2 linked regions of the Oryzias latipes genome follow. The main gene of each other region encodes a partner of the protein of the gene in region 2 in a complex. Links are inferred from orthologs where the notes say so. Each region holds a gene or a part of one and is shown on either strand. Other genes may lie near its edges. The genes, in order: dcp1a and pak1.

Region 1 (12,327 bases), on a different chromosome or scaffold from region 2:
AGAAAAAAATGAAATGCTGTGACTGGAAGATCAATTAAAGAAACTCAATTTCAAAAACCAGAGACTGCTTCATATTGTGGCTTTATACTCTTAACAGGAGTTCTATGGGTTCATCCACGCAACATCTCCCAATCTGATCTATTTATTTATTTGTAAAGTGTAGCAGAAACGGGGCAATTTTTACCACAATTTCATTAAGTTCTAAGTTATGTAACAGTAAATGAACAAATATGGAAGAATTTTGAAAAATAAAGTGTTTAATGCCTTTTAAAGTTAATAATACTGCATTTAGCAAAAATAACAGCTGTTTGAACAACGTTACTTCATTACTATATGGATATGAGCAGAAGTAGAGCTCTGTTAATGCCGACCCAGATGCTTAATTTCTGGAAATATCTAAGCTAAAGCCAACATATTTTTGGATGGAAATAGAGATTACATTTCCTTAAAGAAAACATTGCAGAGTTTAACGTTCTCCAACTAAAAAGGGACATAAATGGTAAGACCAGACAGGATTTTTACTTTTCACATTAAAAGTGATGTCTTCTTGAATCATTCCCTGAGAATAGCAGCATGAGTCTAATGAGAAATCCGAAACAGGTTGACAGAAAAAGTGTAGAAAGCATGGTTCAGCAGGACAGTACGAGGGAAAGAGTGAGGGCACCCTTCATGGCCGAGGGAGATAGTCATTAAAATCAATGCAGACCATGAGGGGGAAAGACAGTGCCCTTGACACAGACACTGCAACTGCACAGCATTACAGCCTCCTGCCCAGCATCAGTCCATCAACACCAGCTCTCCTTAACTGTCACCCCTTAGGGAGCTTTCCTTGACATTGTTTATTTTTTAATAAGTTTGGACTACTTAAAAGCAAAACAAAAACTACTTTAAAAACTTTTTCCAAAGAAAATCTGAATATTTTCTGACTTTATTAAGCATAAATTACAAAAAAACATCACGAAAACCTGCCCCATGCTGAAAAACACAATATTACAACAAACACTTTTTCTAGAAACCAATTCGCTTCCCTAGTGATTTAATAGCTGAACTGCCAAAAAAAAACATTTAAAAGAAGAACAATGAAGATAAACCATTTGCGAAAAGGGGAAAAATTAGAAGCTGTTCAGAGAAAAGGCGCACAGATTAAGCAGATATCAAGAATAAACCAAACGAGCGCTCCTCTCGCCCCCTCAGCGCTCCAACTCTCCTCTGCCCGCGCGCGCACGGCGTTTACCTTCAGACTGTTCTGCTTCTTGCATCCTCGAATCCACATCGAAAAGATCCGTTTTAAATCCAACTCATCGTTGGAAGAAAACACCCGACGACGCAAAAGTGAGCGGAGGCGCTAGCCTGAACGATGACATGTTTTCTGAGCGCAGAACCTGACAGGAGCGCCGAACATTTTCGCCACATCCGGGTGCCTGGCCGCAGATCCGCGGCGTGTGCGACAGGACGCGCTCACACACAGCGCCCGTCAGCCCACTGCTGTCAGTTACTGCGCTGTGGCGGAGCAATGCAGCCATAATCTCCACGGGCGGCATTATTCTGGCATCACTCTTAATGTCAACGCACTTGTTGCTGAGGAGCAACCCTCATTCCTGTCGCAAACCTATTGTTATGTTGTACACATTCAGAATATTTTAAGTAAGTACAAAATAAATTTAAATTCTCAGAAATAATCCAAGAAAATATGTTAGGGGTTGTAGGTTAACCGTTGTGTAACAGTAGCCTCCTAACAGGGTTTGTCCACAATTTACGCATTTTATTAAAAGGAATTATATTTACTCAAAGTTTTCAGCAGAATTTAGTTTTCTCCCATATTAAGCCAAACAATGAATAAAACCAAACCGCTCTTTGGAACAAGTTATCCTAGCCTTTGCTTCTTCTTGTTGGTCATTGTCATATGATGATAAATGAATTACCAACGCCATAAAGCAACAAATCTCAGGACTTACCCCTGAGGGGTCTTCCCCTTATAATCAACGGCATTCAGTCACCCAGCTCCTCTCTGAAGCCTCATAGCGCCGTTTTCTGGGCCAACTCTCCAACAGGGGGAGAGGTAATGAGTTGTTTCAAGCTCTACGGGAAGGTTACCAGTGATTGGATTACCTATGCCTGGATGCAGGATGAAACTACTTCATGGTAGAGCGTAATCCCTCAACAATAATCCCTGCACCAGTGTTCTATTAAGCAGGTAGCAACAACACTGTACCAAAACAATGATCCATCTCAACCCTAAAAGGCCATGACAGACCCATAACAAGCAAGAGGGTACACACATAAATAGCCGGGCTAAAACTACAGATTGAAGCAAAGTCCAAAATTCTTCTGCCTCCTAACAACAATGTTTTACTTTTATTTAACCCATTATTTCACAGCCATTCCTTAATGCTTTAGTGTGTAGGGTCAGCATTAAAACTCCCCCCCCTCATTTTTCATTTTTAAGTGTAATCGATTGGCTTCTACTAGACAAAATCTCTAAACTTTTGTTATAGTTAAACATTTGTTTTATTTTTTGCTTTCACTGTATTGAATAAACCTATCTTAAAAAGGAAGGAAATTTGTGTTTGATAAAAAAAAAAAACTTCTGTTGTAATATTTTTCTAATCCTCTTTATTTCTAGATAACTTTTTTACAGTCAGCTTCTAATTCAAAGGGTTTTTGAGGAGCCTCACAATCTCAGACCACTCATCAATGCATCACAAAAACATCAGAAATATATCTTACACTCTTGGAAAGTTTGTAAATTCCCAATGTGGTATGTTCCACATTTGAAAAGAACATGCTTTTTTGAAGCATATAGATTTAATCATTTCTTTTTCTTTGTAGCATTTTTGGGGGGGGGGTTGGCAATCAACTATTTAATCTTTTCAAAATTTGCTAAAACCTTTCTGGTGAGGCCAAATAGCTTTAATTAGCCTACTAGTCACTCATTGACTCAGGTGCTTCCAATGAGGTTCCTGATTGGGAGCACCTGAACGCATCCACCCTGCTACAGTGGTCCTTAGCTGTACAGTGCCTGAGCAGTTTAGGTCAACTTTGAGGTAAAGTTCTCAAAAACCAAACATTACATTGAGTGAAAGAATAGAATGGCCTGCATAGTTCTGACTTCAACCTCACTGAGCACTTGTGAGTTTAGCTTGACTGTTCAATTCTCCCAAGTGCATAACACAATCTGGTTTAGGACAAATCCTGGTTAAAGAGTGGGATGCTCTCCCACAGCTGAAGGGATTGCTGTGACATACGCTTCTTTAACACTCCATAAAGACTCGTCTATGAAAGCAATAAACTGTTAAATTTGAATGTCTGGTTATTTCCAACTGTACTCAACCAAGCAAAAAACTTGAGTCATGGCAGAGGAAGCTGGTTGGCAATGGCAAAAATGGAATGACAAAAATTACATAGAGACAGCCCACATATTCAACTCTGCTACTCATCGCACAAATTTATAATTACAGGAAATAATGTATAATTTTAGAGGTCAAGATGGCTTTGTAAAAGTTTTTTTTTTAAATAATTGTTAGACAGGCCTACATAATCTATCCAAGCACATATTTTAAGAATTTGTGCTGGAATTTGGCTCACACATAAGCTTAATCACTTAATGAGGAAGATTTTAAGTTGTTGTTTTTTTAAGCAGTCGATCACATGTAAAAATAAATATAAACATGTTCTACTCATGTTTCAAACTACTTTTCAAAATGTAATTCAACACAGTTGAAGCTGTTACATTGTTCGTTCACTTGGTTATTTTTCACCAATGTTTTTATTTTTGATTTATATTTTGATACGTAAACTAACAATGGAAAGACACGGAGATGCACGTTGTTCTGATTTGTTTTAAATAAAATAAATATAAATTAAGGATTTCTATCTTTCTTCCTTTTTTTCACAGAAGTTGCAGAGTTTAGTAGAAGTTGTTTTTTTATTGAACTTCAAACAAACAAATACACATAGCTACAACAGAAAGAAATAAAAAAAGAATAAAATACAAATAAAAGAACAATTAAAATAAAAAAACATTAAAATTGTAGTTTACAATGCTAGGGGTTGTCATACAACATGTAATCTTCAATGAAAATAGACAGTTTTATTGCATTTTTGTTTTTTATTAATTTCAGAGATTTAAAATATTAACTGATCTCTATATCAACTGTATTAAATAATGGTTTGGTTTTGAAATTCTGCTCTTGTGAATTAAACATTTCCCAGATATTAATAAAGTATTGAATGTCAAATAAAATAGATTATCACCAGAAACCATTCCAAATAATATGATGCGCTTTTGTAATTGAATAGAAATAGGAAAGGGAAACTTTGAGGAGCACCAAGAAAAAAAATCCTCCCAAAAATTGTTAACATATATACATTCCAAAAACAGATGATCAAGTGTTTCTATATTTATGTCACAGAAAGAACAGTTATTTTCTGGAAAACCAAAATGTATACGTAGTAGTTCTTTGCACGGATAGACTGCATTCTTACATCAAAATCACATTTTAGGAGGAATTCAATGCCCCCCAGATGGGAGAAAAAGTTTGAAGGAATATGAAACAAAATATTTATTTCATTTTGCAGAAAAGCCCTAAGCCAATTTATTTTAATCATACTATTCAAACTTTCAAAGTCTATGGCTTTAAATCCACCTTCACTGTAATCCTGAATTATTATTCATTTTTTATGTAATGAGTTTTGTTTTTCCAGATGAAGTTAAAATTGCCCTGGTTTCTTGTTTTCCTTGCAGATTTAGGAATTGGGAGTGAATATGCTGGATAAATGAATCTGGATAAACAATCTAATTTAGTGAGAAACATTCTGCCCAGAATAGAAATGTCACGCTGTGACCACATGTTTAAATTTACTTACAATTCACACTTGCTGAGATTTAGTTTTAAACCAGTTGCTTTAGAATAGGAATCTGCGGTTTGAAAGATCTCCGGTATTTGATGACTCTCCTTCATGAATACGGCCGTGTCGTCTGCCAGCTTAGTAATGGCTAACTGTTCTCCCAGGACATTGAGTTTACAGAAACCAGAGTTTGTTATAAGTATTGATAACATTTCTGTTGCTGTTATAAAAAGCAACGGTGAAAATTGGACAGCCTTGTTTAATTCTTTTGTTAATTAAAAATCTGGGAGAAATGCCATTCGGTGAAATAACTACACTGTTCGTATCGTTATAGATTGTTTTAACAAAACTTATGAAATTAGGTCCAAATCAAAATAATTCTAACTAAAACGTTTATCCAGAACAGATTTAAATTAAACATTGAGACACTTTGTAGCTTTGGTTGTGATTCCCCTGAAACAGTTATCCATCTTTTTTGGTATTGTCCCAAAGTTAAGGTGTTTTGGCAGAAGATGTGTGATTTTATTAATGATAAAATTGATTCTTGTTTTGTCTTGTTTTGGAAAGATGTCTTGTTGGGTCTAATATAAAAAAATATGCAAAAGGACTCTTGTTTACTTCTAAATCTTTTACTCATTTTGGCAAAATTCCATGTTCATAAATGTACATTTTCAGGTAGAAAACCCTGTTTCACTGTATTCTTTTCTAAATTAAATCAGTATATCAACAGTATTCGAAATTCAGAGAAGCAAAAAGCAATCAGAACATTGTCTGTATGTGATAGATTCAGTATTTTTTCGTAGAGTTTAACCCCCTGGCTTATAACTATTTCTAGTCTTGTTCTTCTGTTTGTTACAGAAGTGTATTTGATATTTGCAGTTGTGGTTTTTTTTTCATACCTAAAAGTACATTTTTGTAAAATGGCATAATGTGCAATAAAGTTGAGCTTTAAAAAAAAATAGTGGAAGTGGGGAACTATTTTTGAGCGCCGCCACTTCCGGGGACAAGCGAAGTTGAAAGTGTTTCAAAAAAATTCGTCCGTGTAGGTACAACAGACCGATCCAAGATGGAAACTGTAAGTGCGGGACATATGATGAGCTTAGCAGCTCTTCAAAGACAAGACCCCTATATAAACAAATTACTAGATGTAACTGGTCAAGTTGCACTTTACAACTTTAATTCTAAAGTAAACGAGTGGGTAAGTTCATTAGTTACTTTATGATTTTCTGTGATTCGAATGAGGCTTTATCATCATGTTTACTTAGCTCATGGTGCTAGCCCTCGTTAATCAAAACGCGACAGTAGCACTATGTTCACTAAAGCTTTACCGTACGTGGACCTTTATGCTTCGTTATTTTAGCTAATGCTATTTCTAGTCCTTTCAATTTTTGTATTTTTAAATGTATTTCCTTTAGTTAAACTATTGTTCACAGATTCGGCAGCACCTTTTCAGAACATGTTTTGACTTGTAATGTTATTTTAAACATTTTAGGAGAAGACCGACATCGAAGGCACTCTGTTTGTTTATGCCAGGTAAGATTAGCACTTGAACTCGTAATTTGATTGTTTACTTCATCATTGGGTGCTCTGCGCATGTGCACAGGCCACCGTAGGCGTATTTGTAAACAAATCGAGAAAACTTGCCCCAGCCTAGATTTTTATGTTTACAGTACAAAAAATGAATTTTGCTCATCAAACAATTTGCCAAGAAAACTGTACATTTATGATTTAATATAACTGACTTTTTTTTGCCTCAGAAATTTTTAAATCAAGTCATGTGCATTTATTTTCTGTCTTTTTTAGAAAATCATTAGGAAAATTAACAATAAAACTTGTTTTTAAAAATTGCCAGATTATATTTACCTTTAAACAAAGAATTGTAAAAACTAGAAATGTTTTTATCAATTTTGAAATATCCAACATTTCACTGTCATAAAAGTTTTTTTCAAGTGTTTTTTAATTGCTTTGTCAACAGTAAACAATGAAGCATTATCAACAGAGTGATGTTTGTTCCTTTTAGGTCTGCTTCTCCTTATCATGGCTTCACCATCATGAACAGATTAAGTACAGTCAACCTTGTGGAGCCTATTAACAAAGACCTGGAATTCCAACTGCAGGATCCTTTCTTGCTCTACAAGAATGGCAACTGTAAGTGGTTTGAATAAAAATCCTCATCAAAGTATGGAAGAGTTGTAATCATTAATTTAATTCAAAAGTGCTTTATAATGATGTTCTATTTAAGTAGATTTCAAGGAATAGTGATCTTTTGAAGCTACAAGGTATTCATTAAAACCAGGATGAGGCTGCCCACATGATTATAGAGTGAAACGTCTTGAGTTGAGATGAAGACATGCTGATTTAATGCTTAGATCACATTTTTTGTTGAAAATAGGAAGTCGTAAAAATTTCTGACCACATTGTCGATACAAAATTAGAATAAAGCACAATTCACTGAGTAATCCAGGACATTTTTGCCAAAGTAAAATGGAAATTTTCAAGTTAACTCTTGTTTTTTAAATACGCCGTTTTATTTGCAGCTTTTTTGTCCATTTCCTTTATTCTTTGTGAACCCACCTTAATGTATAAGTCATTGTAGTGCACCGCGGATTCACAAACTGTCAAAAGTGGCTGTCATACCTAGTTTGTGAACAATCTATTGTTCACAAATGCTCAAATAATTCTGACAGTACCTCTGAACATTCTGGATAAACACCTCCCCAGTGTTCGGTGGAACATCTCTTCTCCTTTTTGCTTGAACTCATGGTGACTTCTTGAAGCATTAAGCAGGAACACTTTGTCATTCATGGCCTACAGCGGCCTCGTAAACAAGCGCTTCCAGCTGGTTTTGCAACAGTTATCCTTCGCATTTGGGTCAAAAAGCAAAAAGAGTTCAAAGTTTCATTCATCAAACTTCTTCTGCTATAATTGTTTTAGTTTGCTGATTGTTCAATCCTGTAATTTCCTCCTGGAAAAATGGGTCAAATAGAAAAAAATTGCGCCATACTAGATCTTCAAAAAGTAGCTGACAGCACTTCCACCAAGATAATCAATGAGGAGTCTGAGCAGAAGTTTCATCAAAGCGATGAACAAAGAATTCGACTGCTTTCCCATTTGTTTGCTGATGAGAAAAGTTAGCATAGCCAAGGTTAAAGTCAAAGTGGATTGTTCTCCTTTGGGCTTTGGTTTTCCCAGCAGCCTGGCAGGTATGGAAGCCATGATGCAGTGTTTTGTTGGTGATCCAATATAGTCTGCTTCTCCAGTAGCTTCACTCAAGTCTTCGGGGCTTTTGTCATCGCTTACTTCCTTTCTGTCAGCTTTAGTTTCAAAAAGATAAAATGAAGAGCAGTTTTCTCAGGAAACATTAGCTGATAATGCTCCTTGAGTTGAGGTGAAGATACATCCGTCTTGGCAACTAAGCTTTTCTCTGCAAACGTTAGTCGAAGTGGTTTTTTTTTGTTTGTTTGTTTTTCCGTCGGTTGGTTTTCAGTCCCGTCTCACTCTGTTAGTTTATCCACTTGTTTGGAGAGAAAAATGTTTCTGCGCTTTTTCTCCTTTAGTGTAGGTTTGGCTTTGAAGGTGGAGATTCCAATTCTGATCTTGAAAGTCCTGCAAAAGAACAACCCACCCTCTGAAGGAGAAATGTCACCATCAAAAACGATCAGGATCCAAATATAATTCTCCAAATAAAGGGTTTAAATGTTTACGTTTCGCTCCTGTGAGTGGTGCAGAGCTCACTGCAAATGTGCTTGGATGTGGAGAATAGTGTTGCAGAGAAACACTTGGACACACCTGTTTACACCTCATCCTTTTCCCTTTGGACGCTGATGGTGCTGCAGGGAGGCAAATGTTTTGGTTGCCGGGTTACTGTTGCTTCACAAGAGATTCAGACACCGGGATTTTACAACACACTTGCAACATAAAGTAATAACAACCAGATATTATTTTTACAGTTAAACCTTTTTGTAATTACATTATTTTACATTTCAGTAGTAGTTTGATCTGTGCGATCAAAGTCCTTTCATAAACTTCAGTTTTTAGTTTTCCACATCTGGTTCTTGGAAGAATTCTGTGAACTTCTTTTATTCTATCAGTTTTTTTACCCATTTTATTCAAACAGATGTTTAAACTTTAGGATTATTAAGTAAGCTTTAATATTTGATCTTGTTGTTGTTGAGAACTAATGATTAAATTAATCATTCACAGCCTTTTGGGGTTATTTTTTTGCATTACTGCTTTACCTAACAGAATGTCTGTTTCTATATTTCTTCTAGTGGGCATCTACAGTATTTGGTTCTATGACAAGAGGGACTGTCGGCGCATAGCTCAGCTGATGCTCAAGTAAGTGAGCTGAAATGTACCCAATAAGTTAGTTTATTAATGAGGTAAAACTGTAGGTGAATTCAAAATCCTATTTGCATTAGTATTTCAGACGTGTAAATGTACCAAGGAACCAAATGAAAAGTTTGAAATGATACAAACAGTGCTGTACGGGACGTTTATAGTTGAGTCTCTTTCAGGATCGTGAAACAGGAAGCAGACCATGCTCAGAGAAAGACCCCAGAGAGGACGGAGGCCGCAAGAACCAATGGGATCACCGAAACGAAACCTATTGACATCCTGGAGCTGCTTAGCAAGGCCAAGGAGGAATACCAAAGAGTAATTACAAATAAAGTCTTACTCTGTTTCACCTTTAACTTAACTTTCATTTTTAAAATGTCGACTACTTTGTTTTAAGTGGTCTTCTTGGGGTGTTATTTTTAGTTCTAGTGGACTTTAACGGGTAAGATGAGGCCAATTTTAACTGCATTTTGCTTGATTTTCAAATGTGACGAAGGCCCAGGCAGGGGAATCGGAGATGTCTGTTGACACAAGTGTTAAAGTGGAACATCCACACAGAGCAGCGTCACCCGAAAAGGTATGTGCATCGCACAGGCTTAGTGAGAACCGTAAGTAAGTGAGATTTTGGGACCACAAGCCATTTGACATTTGGGTGATCAGTAAACTGAAAGCACATCTATCTTCATTAGTTCTGTGTCGGTCAGTTGATTGCTTGGTTAACAGAGTTGCTCTCCTGCTCTCATCAGAGTTCTCATACAGTGGTGAAGCAGATCACAGTTGAAGAACTCTTTGGATCGTCTCTGCCTAAGGAAACCTCTCTCTTCAACAAAGCTGCGCAGGAATCCACTTCTTCCAGTGACCTCCCTGCTTTTGTGCAGAAACCAGCGTATCCTGTTTCAGTTCATCAAAGTCCGCTCCTCACAGGCCACGATCCCGGGTCACGCCGGCAACAACAAGCCCCTAATCTAATCCCTTCTCCTTATGCAATGAACCCCGGTCCGGTTTTACAGCATGTGGTCCCACGGCCCGATTCTCAATCCCACTGTTCGGTCCCTCCTCTGATGATGCCTTCAGCTGGTTCGGAGCACCTCGCTGCATCGTCTGGTCTGACCGACCCTGCAACGCCTTCCACAGCCTTTTTGAGAAAGGAAATACTGGATTCAATCAAACCTGTGATCCCTTCTATGAATTCAGACGTCCACAAGCCCATGCTTGCACCCAACTTCATCCCAAACACTTTGGTTCCACCCCACAGCTTCCAGGAACACAACATGGACTTTTTCTCTAAGCCTCCAAACCTCATTAAGCCCATGTCTGTAAGTCCCGATTTGTTTGCTAAACTCATCAATGAGTCTTCTCTACCTTTCTCCCCTCAACATACAAGCAGAGAGCTGTCTTTGTGTTTGCAGACTCTCCCCATGAGTCCAGGTCCAGCCGTTCCAGGGTCAGAGATCTCAGTGCTTCTCTCTCCGAGTGTTTTCCAGCAGAATGTCAATAAAAACCCCTCAACAGCAGCGCCAGCGGTCCCTCCTGCGGCCTCTGAGCCGTCTTCAGCATCTGGAGGAGCTTTAGATTCTCTCCCAACCGCCTGCAGTAGAACTCAGCTCCAGGAGACTTTGATTCATCTCATCAAGGTAACCCAGTGGTATTTGACAGAAAGTGTGATGTTGGGAGGGTCAGAACCTTCTCCTGTATCACACGGTGATAAAAAAAATATTGGAGAATGTTACAGGAAAGCTTTAGTTCCTGTTAGATTAAAAAAAAAGAATAATAACTTTTTGATTATTATTAATTTTTTTTCAAAAATGTCTGGACTTTCACCGTACTTACTTCCAGCTCCAATGAAATGAAGTGGCCATTTTTTCACGATGTGGACGCTGCCATGTTGAAGCCAGACAATGTCAGTAAGAAGCGATTGGTCTTAGTCAGCGTTTCTATGCCAACCACTCTCACCAATCAAGAGTGAGCTTGTTGGAAGTCCACACCCCTACCACTTGAAAGCAGGATGGGCTTCATGAAAACCGTCAAATGTTTGGAACGTTAGACGCGGGGGCCAGTAAGCACCACACTTTATTGAGGCATTTGATTGGCCTTATATAACTTGAATACCTTGCACTACAGAAAAAATCATAGTTTTTAAATGTTAGAAAAGGTAGCAGAGCAACTTCCCAATAGAAGTCGATGGGATTTACTAATGATTCTGTCTTTAAGATATGAATCTAACTTTTTGTTTTGTCTGACTTTAACAGAGTTTGTTCTCTTTTGTTTCTTGTTTGTCCAGACTGACTCAGACTTCCTCAGTGCCATCCATAATGCATACCTGCAGAGTTTATCCAGAGATTTAGTAAACATGAAGCTATAGTCCTCACAGAAAAAAAGCTGAAGATCACAGGAGACACAAGAAAGGATTAACAGGGCATGCTCTACATCGCTAACACTGATGTCCCGGACATGTGGATCAACGTTTATTCTTCTACGATCAGAGAAAAACTTCTTTATGGAACAGATGTGGGAACAAGAAGACAGATTTTTGCTTTTCAGACTTTTCAAAAGAAAAGAAAATGTCAAACCACTGGCCAGATGTTGGTACTTTGTGGTTTCATTTTATTTTGAAGGACAGGACTACCATAACAGACGTTTAGTGAGATCATCGTTTTCTTCTCGTTTGGACTGTTGATTGGTTTTTCAGCTATAATAACAAGTAAACTCTGCTGTGTCTTCTGTTCATCACACAGAATTGTGGAGTTGAAGATTATTAGAAGAGTTATGACATTTATCGTTGATTAAACCATTTTTATGTGATTGTCTAGAAAAGCACTTACAGCTAGAAATCTCTTAATTATGAGAAAGTCCCTATGAATGGGTTCATGTTATGGTTTTGTAGAGGAGCTTCCTGTTGACCCCTCCTTGTCTTCTTGCATCTGTTGTCACATCTCCTTTATGAAGTTGGGGTGTGATGTGTGACAATACCACCACATGGGGCAAATGTATACTACCCTCAGGATTCTGCAGTTCAATTATCATTTAAAAAAACTCCAAAAATATCTGAATTCTCCCAAACAGCTATTTTAAAATTAACCAAAGGTGGAGCAGAGGAGCTTTTGATTGCTCCATCCCAAATATATATATTTTTTTACCCCC
Region 2 (11,745 bases):
TTTCATAACATGTTCTCATCAAAGACAGCTATGATAAGCTCAAAGGCTAATTGGAAAAGTTTGTTTCAGTTTGTTTCTTAGCATTTTGCATAACTTTGTGCTTTTTTTTCCTGTGTTTTTAATAGAAGTTGTGAAAATAAATTTTCATCGTGTCATGTATTTTTACAAATGCAAAAACACTTCTGACTTCACATGCATTCCAACTAATACTGAAATATTTTCATCTTTTGATTGAATATTTATGAAAGTCACTTGAAGACCCACTCTGATTAAACATTTTTTTTATGTTTTTAACATCTTGTGGCAATTTTCTGCTTATTGAGGACATATATAAAGAGAATCAAGCATAAAATGTAATTTCTGAGTATTTCTTTAACCAAACTGTTGTGAATCAGGAGCAGAGGAAATTTTCCGTTTGAAAAAGCGCTTAATTCTGATCTTAAAATATGCTAGGTGGGCAAGCTTCATGCTCCAAGCTCCCAGCAAAGGGGAGGGGAAGGGGGGGTGGGCCTGCTCCTTACCAAAGTTTTATTTATTTATTTTTAAATTTCATTCTGTCCAGCAGAGAGAAAGGACGTGAAGGCCTCTTGTGTTGGACAAATTTTACATACTTTTATTTCTTAAAACATACTGTTTAAGCAAAGTATATAAGCACTTCCTGTTACGTTTGTATGAAAACTTCTTTATGAATAAAGTTTTGATTTGATATCAAATGTAGCCAAGTGTGTTTTGAAACAATGTTTTCTTTTAAAACCAATCTGTCTTTTTTTCAAAAGTGTGTAAAATGAAATATACTTTAAAAAGTCTCTACTAAAAGTTTACTAAGAAGTATAATACAAAAAACAACAAAAAAGTAAATTCTTACTGATTTTGTGTGTTCTGGACGGGGCGCAACCACCGGCGGGGGCTCCACCTCCTCCTCGTCTTCATCCTCGGATACGGTTGCTATGGCGGGAGTCTCCAACACGGCTTTGGTGCTCTGCATGATGTCACAGGGGGAGAGAGGGAGGAGCCTGAGTGACGCCATGGCTACATGAGCGATCATCGATACGAGACCCATCATTGCTTCCTGCTGCTCTCTGATGCTTCCTAATCTCATCAGGCAGACATTCCTCCTGCCCGTCTTCAGCTCTTCTTCTCTGGGTCTTATTCAACCCTTTCAACTCTCCCTCCATCTTTTTGTTCGCCCGCCTCCCGTCATCTCCTTTGCCGTCTGAAAGCTCTGCTCAGGTGTGGCTTGTGATGCTACATCTTCCTCTCTTCTTCTCCTCCTCCTCCTCTGTCTGCCCGCGATGCTCGGCTGGTGGCCAAGCTGCAGGGACGGGCAAATGGCGAGGAGACAAGATGCTGATTCATAATGCAGAGGAGGAGACAGAGGAGTACATCTGGAGGAACTCCTGCTGTTCTTCATCGTTGTCTTCACCATTACGTTCAGAAATGAAACAAAATCGAGTTCAAAAGCAGTCTGTCACTGCAAGAGTCTCTGATTAAGGAGCATTCCGACACACAATCAGAACTTTGTTTTTTCCTTTTTTGGCCTCAAAATATAGTTGATATATTTGGTTTAAGATATTTTATGAATGTTATGTAAATATTTAATTTAATTTTGAATCTTTTAGGGCGATTTTTACATCTACCAGCAGGGCTGGGCACATATTTTGACTGGCGGGCCAAATAGGGTTCTAAAATTAAATAGAAGGGCCGGACCAGGAGCAGATGCACGGAGTGAGAAAGAAATAACATGGCATCTGGATGAAAAGCAGTTGGATTTAAAATTATATTTTAAAACAGAGCATTTTAGAGTTTTTAGGTTAAAACGTTAGTTCTCAATTTAGAGCCAGTTGCACCAATGGCTTGATGTACTTCGTGTAAAACTTAGAGAAATGCTGCGTTCATGTGGTGTTTGAATGATTGGAAGATTGAAAAACAACAAACCTTCAAACACCACACGGATGCTAGAGCAGGGGTCCCCAAACGTTTTCGAGTGAGGGTCACAATAACTCTTTTTCTTTAAAACTTTAAACGTCTTTTCAAATCAAATCAAATCAAACTTTATTTATAAAATAGCGCTTGTCTTTCTTTAATTGCGAAGCCCTTGGGGGGCCAGCGGGGATCACATACTTTTTTTTAAGGGAATAAATTTATAACCTGAATAACTTGTGATAAAGAAAAACATATAATTAAAAAAAAGTTATGATTATCAAAAACAAGTTAAAAAAAAAGTATCAGAATAAAATTTGTTTTTCTAACCAATAGCATGACTGAGTAACAGCTATTTTTTTTCAAATGACGTATATGGGATTTTGGCATCTTGGAGCCAGCAGGTACTTCCTGTTCTAAACGTCAGAGGGGCGGAGTCACTCAGTTCAGTTCTCATATACAGTCAATGGGGAAACACTGGCAAGCGCCCCATTGTGATTGCAACTGTTCTACCAAATGGGCTCCCATGTTGAAAGGAAAAGTAGTGATTTCCCTAAATATGCTTTTAAATTCCTTTGAAACACGCGTTTTACCACAATAATATTTAGTACATTACTCTTTAGAGAAATATTTTTCAAAAGAAGTCTGAAAAAGATTTCTTTTGAAATATGTATTGTGGGGAAATTTTAAAAAATGCCTCGTTCCAGCTACAAAATTAGCATTTACGTTTGAGTTTGTTGTCAAACTCTCATTTTATCCTTTCTACTTTAAGGATTGTTCCATTCTGCTTTAGATAAATCCGCTTTCAGGCGAGTCAGCAGATGCACTAAGGACTGAATTCTTTCTCTTAGGTCTACACAACGCACAGCAACCGGCATGAAAGAGATCTGCCAAGCGAGTAATGACCATAATTCCACGCTGCTTTGTGTGAGGCTGTGGAATCCTTGCAGGTTGGTGAGGAACTTTTAAAACCAACAGCATCATGAACTTTGCCAACAGAACTAAGACAAGAAAAAACAAAACATGTCACTTTAGTTTCTGAGTTCTTCTTTTGCTTAATTTCTTACACAAATGAGTAAATGTGTCACGTGTCCTTAGGGAGCGAATCAGAGGCGGTCTTACCGTTGTGGTGGAGGAGCTGTACACGTCTAGGTTTTTATCTGCAATAAGAAAAAGACAAAAAAATTATATGATACATGTTATAAAAATGATCTAAAAGAAACCTAACATCAATTGTGATACAAGTACTAAAGAAATAGGGATGTCCCAATCCGATCACGTGACTGGAATACGGGCGAATCGCGTCGTTTCACACTTTATTGGAGTCAGATGTTGAATCATTATTTCCTTGTTATTATGATCATATATTTCAAGCTTATTACCACAAATAAGTATTCTACTAGAGGTCTGCATATCATGAACAGATTACATTTTATTGGCGTAAAGCACAGCAGGAGGCGCACAAAAACAGTTCGGTAAAGTTAGCAAGATATTCACAGCTTCAGACTTCCAGGCTCCAAAACTCTTAAAAAACGTTCAAAACTGTCATCAAATATCTCTATTGGTTTTTCTTTATGCAAACGAAGAAATAAAAAGATTGAGTTTTTTTATTCCAAGAGGAAACACTGGAGTAAAAAACATCAGAATAAAAATTATCATAAAATAACAACAATAAAAATAGAAAAAGATAAAAATTAAAATAAGATATAAGAATGTTAGGTATTAAAAAATAAAATATGTAAACTGATTAAAACATAACCTTAGTATCATTGGTAAAATAACAATAAAAAGAATAGCATATTAAAAACAGAGATAATAATAGTCCTTACAAATAAATAAATGAATAAATACGTAAATTAATTAATAAATAGATAAATAATAAAAGACATAAGAAATGATCAAAGTCATGTTAAAGCCAGACTAAAAAGGTGGGTCTTGAGCCTCTTCTTAAAAACCTCTAAATACACTACTTAATTCTCAGAATTTGACTATTTCGACTTTTTTCTGGTAAATTTACAACTTTTCTTTGGTTTGTTAACCGGTCCCAAGACTAAGTCGTGAATTTTCTAGTTGATAGTTGAACCTTTTTCTTCACAAAAGTGCTCTGGTTAAGTATTAAATTATAGAAGAAGGTTCATAAAAAAAACTGGGGAAACTCTGATTTTCAAAATAAATTGTTTTAATTTTTTTATTGTGATGCAAAAGTATCTGTATCACCAGGGCCAGTAAAAACTTAAATATTTATTCATTTGCACTTTAAAACAATAACCTGGTGTAAAAAAGATGGATCTTTTCATCCTATGCCCTTTTTAAACTTCTTTTGATCTATATACGCATCAATGTTAATTTTTACTAATAATATTTTCTCCTTATGTTGCTCATTTCATGTCGTTCCAACAGCTCACGTTGGTTTATTCCTCATTTGGGTTCTGCAGCAGCCTTATAATGAGTTTCCATAACATGAGCGTAAATCTTGTTTAGTACTGACGCACAACCCCCTATGTGTGTGTGTGTGTGTGTGCGTGTGTGTGTACCTGTGAAGCTCATGTATTTCTGGCTGTTGGACGTCTCCTTGGAGTCGTAGAACTTTAAAACATCAAGCACGGCCTGAGGATTCTTCTTTTGCTCCAACTTGGTGATGTTGGACGTCTGCAGCAGCCGGGCCCACTGCTCCGGCATGCCCTACCACAACACACAAACACACAAACACACTTTACCTGCTGCTGTGTCATGTGTTTGATGCCAATAAAGGCAGATTTGAATCTTTTATTTTGATAAATCAACATGACGTCAGGCAAAGTTTCCCATAAAGAGTCCAACCGAGGCGGTCCCATTTTCATGTTGGACACAAAACTGGGTCACATCTCCTTGTTTTCCTGCTCGCTCTTCCTCTCTGCTTATCTGTCAGGATAATTCCATCACACATTCTCCTCCATTTCCTGCTTCATCACTCCGTCTCTCATCCCTGCTGGAGTCTGACCTTCCCTTTATGGGAAAACGCCGTCCCGGGTTCCGCTCTGCCGCCGTTGTTACTTCGAAAATTACAAACACGCCTCTTTGCGTGTACATGTGTGCATAATTGAGAATCAGGGGAAGTGCCCCAGATTACAGAAAAAGAAAAACTCTAGCGCGCGCACACACTCGCTGCGTAACTCGGAGCTAAAAGTGCTTGGTCATGCAGACCGAGTGAGTCAGCGGAACAAGGCGTCTTTGTCTAAAGTGATTATTTAAAAAGCTTTATTCTGCCCCTATGTGTGTGTGTTTCAGAGCATGTTGTTGACAAACACACAACCATCAGGGTCCCATTGGTGACCAATTAAAAGAGTTATGTAAGCACACCAGACAAATGTGCACAGACACACCGCTGCCGCCTCCAGCGAATCCGTTGAAGTATGAACACATTTGGAGGAGAGGAACGAGAAAAAGAAGATTTTTGATTTTTAAAATGTCGGTTTAATCAGGGATCACAGATAACAAGAAAACAAGCAGCATAACATAGTTCACCACAGGACACAGAACAATGAACATAGTTAAAGTACCATTAAAACTGGACATTTCAGGGACATCCTGAAACCTGGACCGAACAAGTCCCCCCCCCCCCCCCCCCCCCCCCGAGTCCAGCAGGCGCGCCGAAGTCAACTTTTTCAATTTGAGGAGTTCAATATATCCTGGATTTTCAGTGGATTCAATCAAAGATTCCACAGCCTCCAATAAATCTACAGTAATCGTGCGCAACGTTGAGAATGCACTGCTGGTACAAAAGCTCAATTTATCACGGCCCCACCGTTGCCCGAGAGATCTAAAATGTCTACAAAGAAACTCAAAACATCCTTAAAACCAGCATCAAACGTTGAAACAGAATTAAAAGGCCACTACGCACTTCTTGGTGCAAAATCCTTCACATAGAAGACACAAACCACTGACCAATGGTCAGTAAAAGTAACAGGAGTCAAAAACATTCAAATGAAGCTTAAAACAATAAAAAACCATCAAGACGGGCGACAGAAAACCTGCAAGTGTATTTCTTGCAGTCTGCATGCAGCCTTCTCAGAGACCCCCCCTCCCCCCACCACCTGCCCCGATCCACGCACCTCGACGTCATCAACGGCCCCAACGGAGGAAGAAGAAGCGCACAAACTCACTGTAAACTCCCCGGTGACGGCATCGAAGCCAACGTGGATGGTGTGCTCAAAGTCAGACGGCAGAGAAATCTCTGGACGCTCCTTCTTCTTATAGGCTGAACCAAAAGGACAGAAAGGGTATCGTCAGACTGAAAGATTTGAAAAACAAAGTCATGGAAAAACTTTAAAGAAATGTTATTCAGTGCCTTGTAAAAGATTGTTGAAAGGAGGATTAATAAGGAGGCAAAAAAGAACCTAATATAGCACATTTCTGAAAGAAAACTCACAATTTCAGTCATTTTTAGTGAATATACTGTAATAGATGCCACAGTTTCGGTTGAAAGGTGAACCATATGATACATCTGCACTGTGGGGGAAGCCTTTGGCTGCATCCATACTGCATACAGACGTTTAGGTTAAAAGTGTCTAACAGTTGTGCTAAATTTAACAAGAATTCCTTATCAATTACGCTTCTCCAGGCTTAAAAAGGGCTTTTTTCATTGCTACCGACTTATTTAGCAATGATAAAACAGTATTTTTCAAGTGTTTTGTCATTTTTTTTGTTTTTAAAAAAAAAAATCATACATCGAACCTCAAACAAAACAGTGAGCCCAAAAAAATAAAAAATAAAAAATAAATCAGGGTTTAAACCGAATTGTGGAGAAAGTGAATTATAATTATTGGATCCCTAATGGATACACATACATACATAACAAACCAAAATGGTTCTACACGACTGAGAAACAAACAAAAAAAGGCTTTCCTAAAAATAAAGATTTAAATAATTTAAATAATGACAAAAACAATATAAGAAAAAAATATAACGCAAAATTAAATAAAACTTCTGACATAAGGTATTAAAATAAAAGGAAAGCACAAAAGAGAAAGCTTGGAGATGAAAAGGACAAAGGAGACGCCATATGTTAGAAATAGAATGAAATCCCCTGGGAAATGACATTTCATGGAGTCTCCTGGGATGACAAACAATGAGACAAGGCCACCAGTCAGCTGCAAAGCATCATGGGTCAAATGTCATTAAATTGTGCATTTTTTTTTGTTTTTTACATATTTGAAAGAGTTAAATTCATAAACAAACATATCGGCTGACAAAGATGGCCCCTGAACATGCTAAACTCAGTACTACTAGAGAAAAATATAATTGACTAACTGCTTAACTGTTAACTGATTAACTGCTGATCAAACCATCTTAATGGGACTGACGGCACAAAACGTCTATTTCCTCTGCAAACAAAACACTGACGTGTTTTAGAAATCAGAAGAAACCCAGAAAGAAAGAAAAGAAAAACAGGAACCTTTTGAACTTTGGCAGCTGGAACCTATAAAGGAGAGATTTTTGAAACTTCAAATAAATATAAAACTTGTGACTGTGTAACTAAAATAATACGGCTACAACTTAAAGCTTATTAGCGAAATTCACAAATGATCTCAATTTCAGTTTCATCTCCTCTTACGACAACAACATTTCTATCCCGTTCAACATAAAAATACTCAAACTTTTATTCTGCTTGCGCACTAATTATTTTCTAAGTAAATGCACAGAAACAATACGGATTATTATTAATTGTCATCAGGAGACACGGCATTAACGTTCATAGCTATGCTGATGACACTCAGCTGTTTGTAGCTGGGTCTCCTGACGACACTGGACCCATGGATGGCCTTTTAAATTATATTTTAGATAAAAATGTGGATGGGAGGGAACTTTTTGCCTTCCAACCAAGACAAAACTGAAGTCTTGGTAATCGGTTCTGAAACTGAGAGAGATGAGATCCAATTTTATCTGTCAACCAAATTTATGACCATATGTGATAGAGCAGGGGTGGGCAATTATTTTAACTCGGGGGCCACATTGGGTTCTAAAATTCAATAGAAGGGCCGGATCAGGAGCAGATGTGTGGAGTGAGAATGATATAACATGGAATCTGGGTGAAAACATTTGGATTTTAAATTTATATTCTACAGAATATTCTAGTCTTAGTTTGAAACTTTTGTTCCCATTTTAGATCTCTTTTTGATTGTGAAGCCCGTTGGTACCTTCAAGGAGTTGTAAAGTGCTATTTGAATAAAGTTTCATTCATTCATGATCCTTTTAATAAAATAAATAACATTATTTATAAAATAAAACAATGACCAAATAACACTATGATTTTCAAAGACAAAAATTCAGAAAAAATATACTGATACATTAAAAATAATAATAATAAATAAATAGTCGATCCTTTCCCGTCATAACCCTAATAAAGACTTTGAGGGCTGCAGCTCATCACTCGTCTCACAGTTTGTGCTCAAACTGAGCAGTTGTGTGTCCTGCACGTCTGTTTCTCATCCATTAATAATGAAAAGCATATTTCTCTGTCTTCTGCTGCAGCTACGCATATTTCTGCATTTTCTGCACAGAGTTCCTCGTTTCTTGCAGGAGGAGTTACGTTCTAAAAATAACGGTGATCTGTGAAATCCACGGAGAATGATTACAGACGTTTATGGCAGTAAAACTCCTCACTGCCCACTTTATACACTTTTCTCAGACAGACATGAACATTTTCACCCTTTTCTCTCTTGTGTTTAAATTTTCAAACCTTCATAGAAATTAGGTCCAGGATCTTAGAATGAAAACAAAGATCTGATCATCGATCACAGATTTCTGATCTGAAGAGCTCTGCGTTTCTGTACAGAAGACTCGGCATGGACTGAGGAGATTGATTGACAGGGTCTCTAGCCAATAAGGACAGGTGTCCTGTTCAAAAAAGTCAGCATGATCGCTCTATAGGAACGAGCTAAACCGGGAAAGATGAACTACGACATAGAAAGGAACGACTGTCTTCTGTTCTGCCTATTAGAGATTTTAGAGGATTTCAGGTTGGACCACAGACTGCAGAAGGGGGGAAGAAAATGTCACATCTTGATCGTGTGGCCAGATTAAAAAAACAAACAAACATGGGTCTCTGATATTGTTCAGTGGGCCGGACCAAACATAGAGGGGGGCCGGAACTTAAAGACCTATCTATTTAATTCACCTTTAAATTAGATCTTCTATGGCGGATCTAAACATTTTACTGTTATATTTTATGATATTTTACTACATTTTTATTTGTTTAATGTGTGTTTTTTATTATTTATTTATATTCTCAACATCTTAACTTATTCTTATTTATATTTCCATGGTTTTAGACTTTGTATGCATTAACTTATTTTAATTTTTTATATTTCAGCTGTTTTTATATTTTAACTTTTCTATTTATCACTTCTACATTTTAGACAGTTTACAAGTGTTTTCTCCCCCTTTGCTGGGGGGTTTGTGTCTATTGACACCCAGGCCAACAGGAGGACAGGGCACTTTATTGGTTCTCTCTTCTTAAGGTTTTTTCTTCCAAAGTCGTTTCTCTTTTCCTTGTGCTTGTTTTTGTGTATTCTATTATGAGGGGCTTATTTATTTACTTTTTGCAGTGGTGTTTTTGCATTCTTGTCTGTTTTTATGTACAGCTGTTGTCTTTACATGAAAGGTGCTATAGAAATAAAATTAATTTGAATTTGAATTATTGTTTTATTTACTCTTTTATTATATTTATTTGATACAATTTAAATAAAGAGTCGGCATGGCTGGTAAAGAGCGGGAAAAAGATGCGTGTAGCAGCCGCTCAACCAGGGCCCGGGTCAAAGCGTTGGTAGCGCCTGCAGGCCAAACAACGCTGCTCTCAACGCTGCTTTAAAGGTAGGTTTCATTGAAATCCTTAAGTTCTCTGTTTTTGAAATGGATTTAGAACCAGATTCAAGCTGGTTTGAGTTTAGTTTTAAAATCTATGAGTAGAAAGAAATGAAAACAGTGATCAAAACTCACTTTTGTCGCCTCCGCCCGTCAGGATGAATCGGATGGAGCGGTCCTTCTTATTCTTCTTGTCCTCTGGGTTTGGTGGGAGGGGTTTGGAGCCGTGGTTGAGCGGGACGGCGTCCTTGTTGCACGAACCGATCATGGTGCTGGTGTTTCTCATGGGCGGAGCTGGAGGCTTGTCCTCAACCTCCCCATTATCGGACATCTTCAGACAGGCTGCGGCCGACCGCTCCTGCCCGGACACAGAAGGGTCACAGTGAGGGCTGGGCAAGGCCTAGACCAAACGCCCAATCACGAGTCAGATCAGTCATGGAAATTACCTGATTTCACGACCATTTTATTTAATTCTTTGTTTATTTATATTTATTTTTTAATAAATCTTGACAAATTTAGCTTTCCAATTGCTCCCCAAGTAAAAACCATACCCTGCATTTACAGACATACAGTTATATATTCTTAAGAGCTGGTTTTTGTAAAAAAAATAAAAAATAATAAAAAAACAGACACAAACTGCAGGCTAACCTGGTCTGCTAAATGCTTCAGTGAACACACAAACCCTGGAGATGGACCTATGTAGGTCAGAGCTTCACCCACATCAACATCCACTACACACTAAATAATGTACATACCATTGACTGTATCTCAGGACAGCTATTGCTGTCATTCTATTTGTCAGAATAATCATTCTTGCTCTGCTGCCTTTTTTCATGATATTTTTTTTTCTGTAGTTCAAGTTATTCAAAACATGACTTGAACTACAGAAGCCTAAATAAAAGTAGGAGGGGCCTGCTGACCTCCACGCCCAACCAGAGTGGTTGCCATAAAAACGTTAACACAGACCAATCGCTTTGGTGTCCACATCACCAAAAAATGAAGACTGATGTGTCCTCAGTGTGACTTTGGCTGGAAGTAAACTATTTCCTATGGGTGACGCCTACAAAACACAGTCCTGTTCTCCTACAGTCAATGGTACTTCCACAAACTTAATGCAAAAAGTATTTATACACAGATTTTTGCTTTTTTTTTTTTTAGGAAACAGCAGGAATGAGGAACCTGCCACCTATCTGCACTGCTGAATCCTAAGTTAATCAGCAATCAAGATGCGGTTTAATGAAACCCACAACATAATGAACTACTAAATCTTTAAAGCATTTAGAGGTCATTCGCAGTTGGGGGTCAAATTAAAGTTGCGAAGATCTTTTTAACTAAAAATGATCTATAGACACTTTGGTGTAAAATAAAGTTAATCAGTCACAAATTCTGCAAGACGTTTAATTTTATAGAATCGATTTATATAATAGTGCAGAAAATAAGTATTTATCTCCAACATGGAGTAAAACTCCCGTCCTTTACAGACCAGTCCCTTGTTTTTAAGAAGCCCTTCTGTTCCCCACTCTTTACCTGTGGTGATGTCCCCGGTTTGAACTGGTTATCTGAGTAAAAGCCACCTGTCCACACCCTTCAACAGTCAGACTACAACCTCTGCACCAAGACCAAAGAGCTGTGTTACAACAACACACCGCACAGCAGACCGTTGAATCTTGACCAACTTCCATTGAACATAAACAGATTTAAGATGTGAATCTGTTTCCAGTTTAATGGAAAGGGCTTTAATTTTATACGATTTGAATATTTTTTTACGGACTCTACTATCTTGAACTGTAAAAAAAAAATAACTTGGACACCTTTGACCAGTTGTGTGTGCGTGACAGACTTTTACCATGCTATTTTAATTTTATGACATTTGTGACAGCAGAAGTCCACTTCAGGTAAACAAGAATAGGAAGAAGAATAACTTTCATGACAGGATGACAGACAGAGGCGTGTAAACCATAATGTCCATTTTGTTGGGAAAAT

Evidence for each region.
Region 1: pak1 (region 2) and dcp1a share a complex: the UniProt entries of both Homo sapiens proteins name them as parts of the cytoplasmic complex. The link is inferred for Oryzias latipes from reciprocal best matches to the Homo sapiens genes PAK1 and DCP1A.

The regions. Positions count from the first base shown.
Region 1 is NC_019865.2:7,297,362-7,309,688, forward strand, and holds the start of dcp1a (mRNA-decapping enzyme 1A), read left to right. Parts: upstream 1-5,875; 5' UTR 5,876-5,914; coding exon 5,915-6,046; intron 6,047-6,340; coding exon 6,341-6,381; intron 6,382-6,868; coding exon 6,869-6,996; intron 6,997-9,119; coding exon 9,120-9,186; intron 9,187-9,365; coding exon 9,366-9,504; intron 9,505-9,682; coding exon 9,683-9,763; intron 9,764-9,932; coding exon 9,933-10,502; intron 10,503-10,595; coding exon 10,596-10,820; intron 10,821-11,467; coding exon 11,468-11,548; 3' UTR 11,549-12,327. Other genes in the region: cacna1d (voltage-dependent L-type calcium channel subunit alpha-1D), read right to left, coding at 1,956-1,989. UniProt on the Homo sapiens protein: Necessary for the degradation of mRNAs, both in normal mRNA turnover and in nonsense-mediated mRNA decay. Removes the 7-methyl guanine cap structure from mRNA molecules, yielding a 5'-phosphorylated mRNA fragment and 7m-GDP.
Region 2 is NC_019871.2:4,526,393-4,538,137, reverse strand, and holds part of pak1 (serine/threonine-protein kinase PAK 1), read right to left. Parts: intron 10,121-11,745; 5' UTR 10,094-10,120; coding exon 9,898-10,093; intron 6,158-9,897; coding exon 6,063-6,157; intron 4,603-6,062; coding exon 4,455-4,602; intron 3,081-4,454; coding exon 3,043-3,080; intron 980-3,042; coding exon 866-979; intron 1-865. UniProt on the Homo sapiens protein: Protein kinase involved in intracellular signaling pathways downstream of integrins and receptor-type kinases that plays an important role in cytoskeleton dynamics, in cell adhesion, migration, proliferation, apoptosis, mitosis, and in vesicle-mediated transport processes.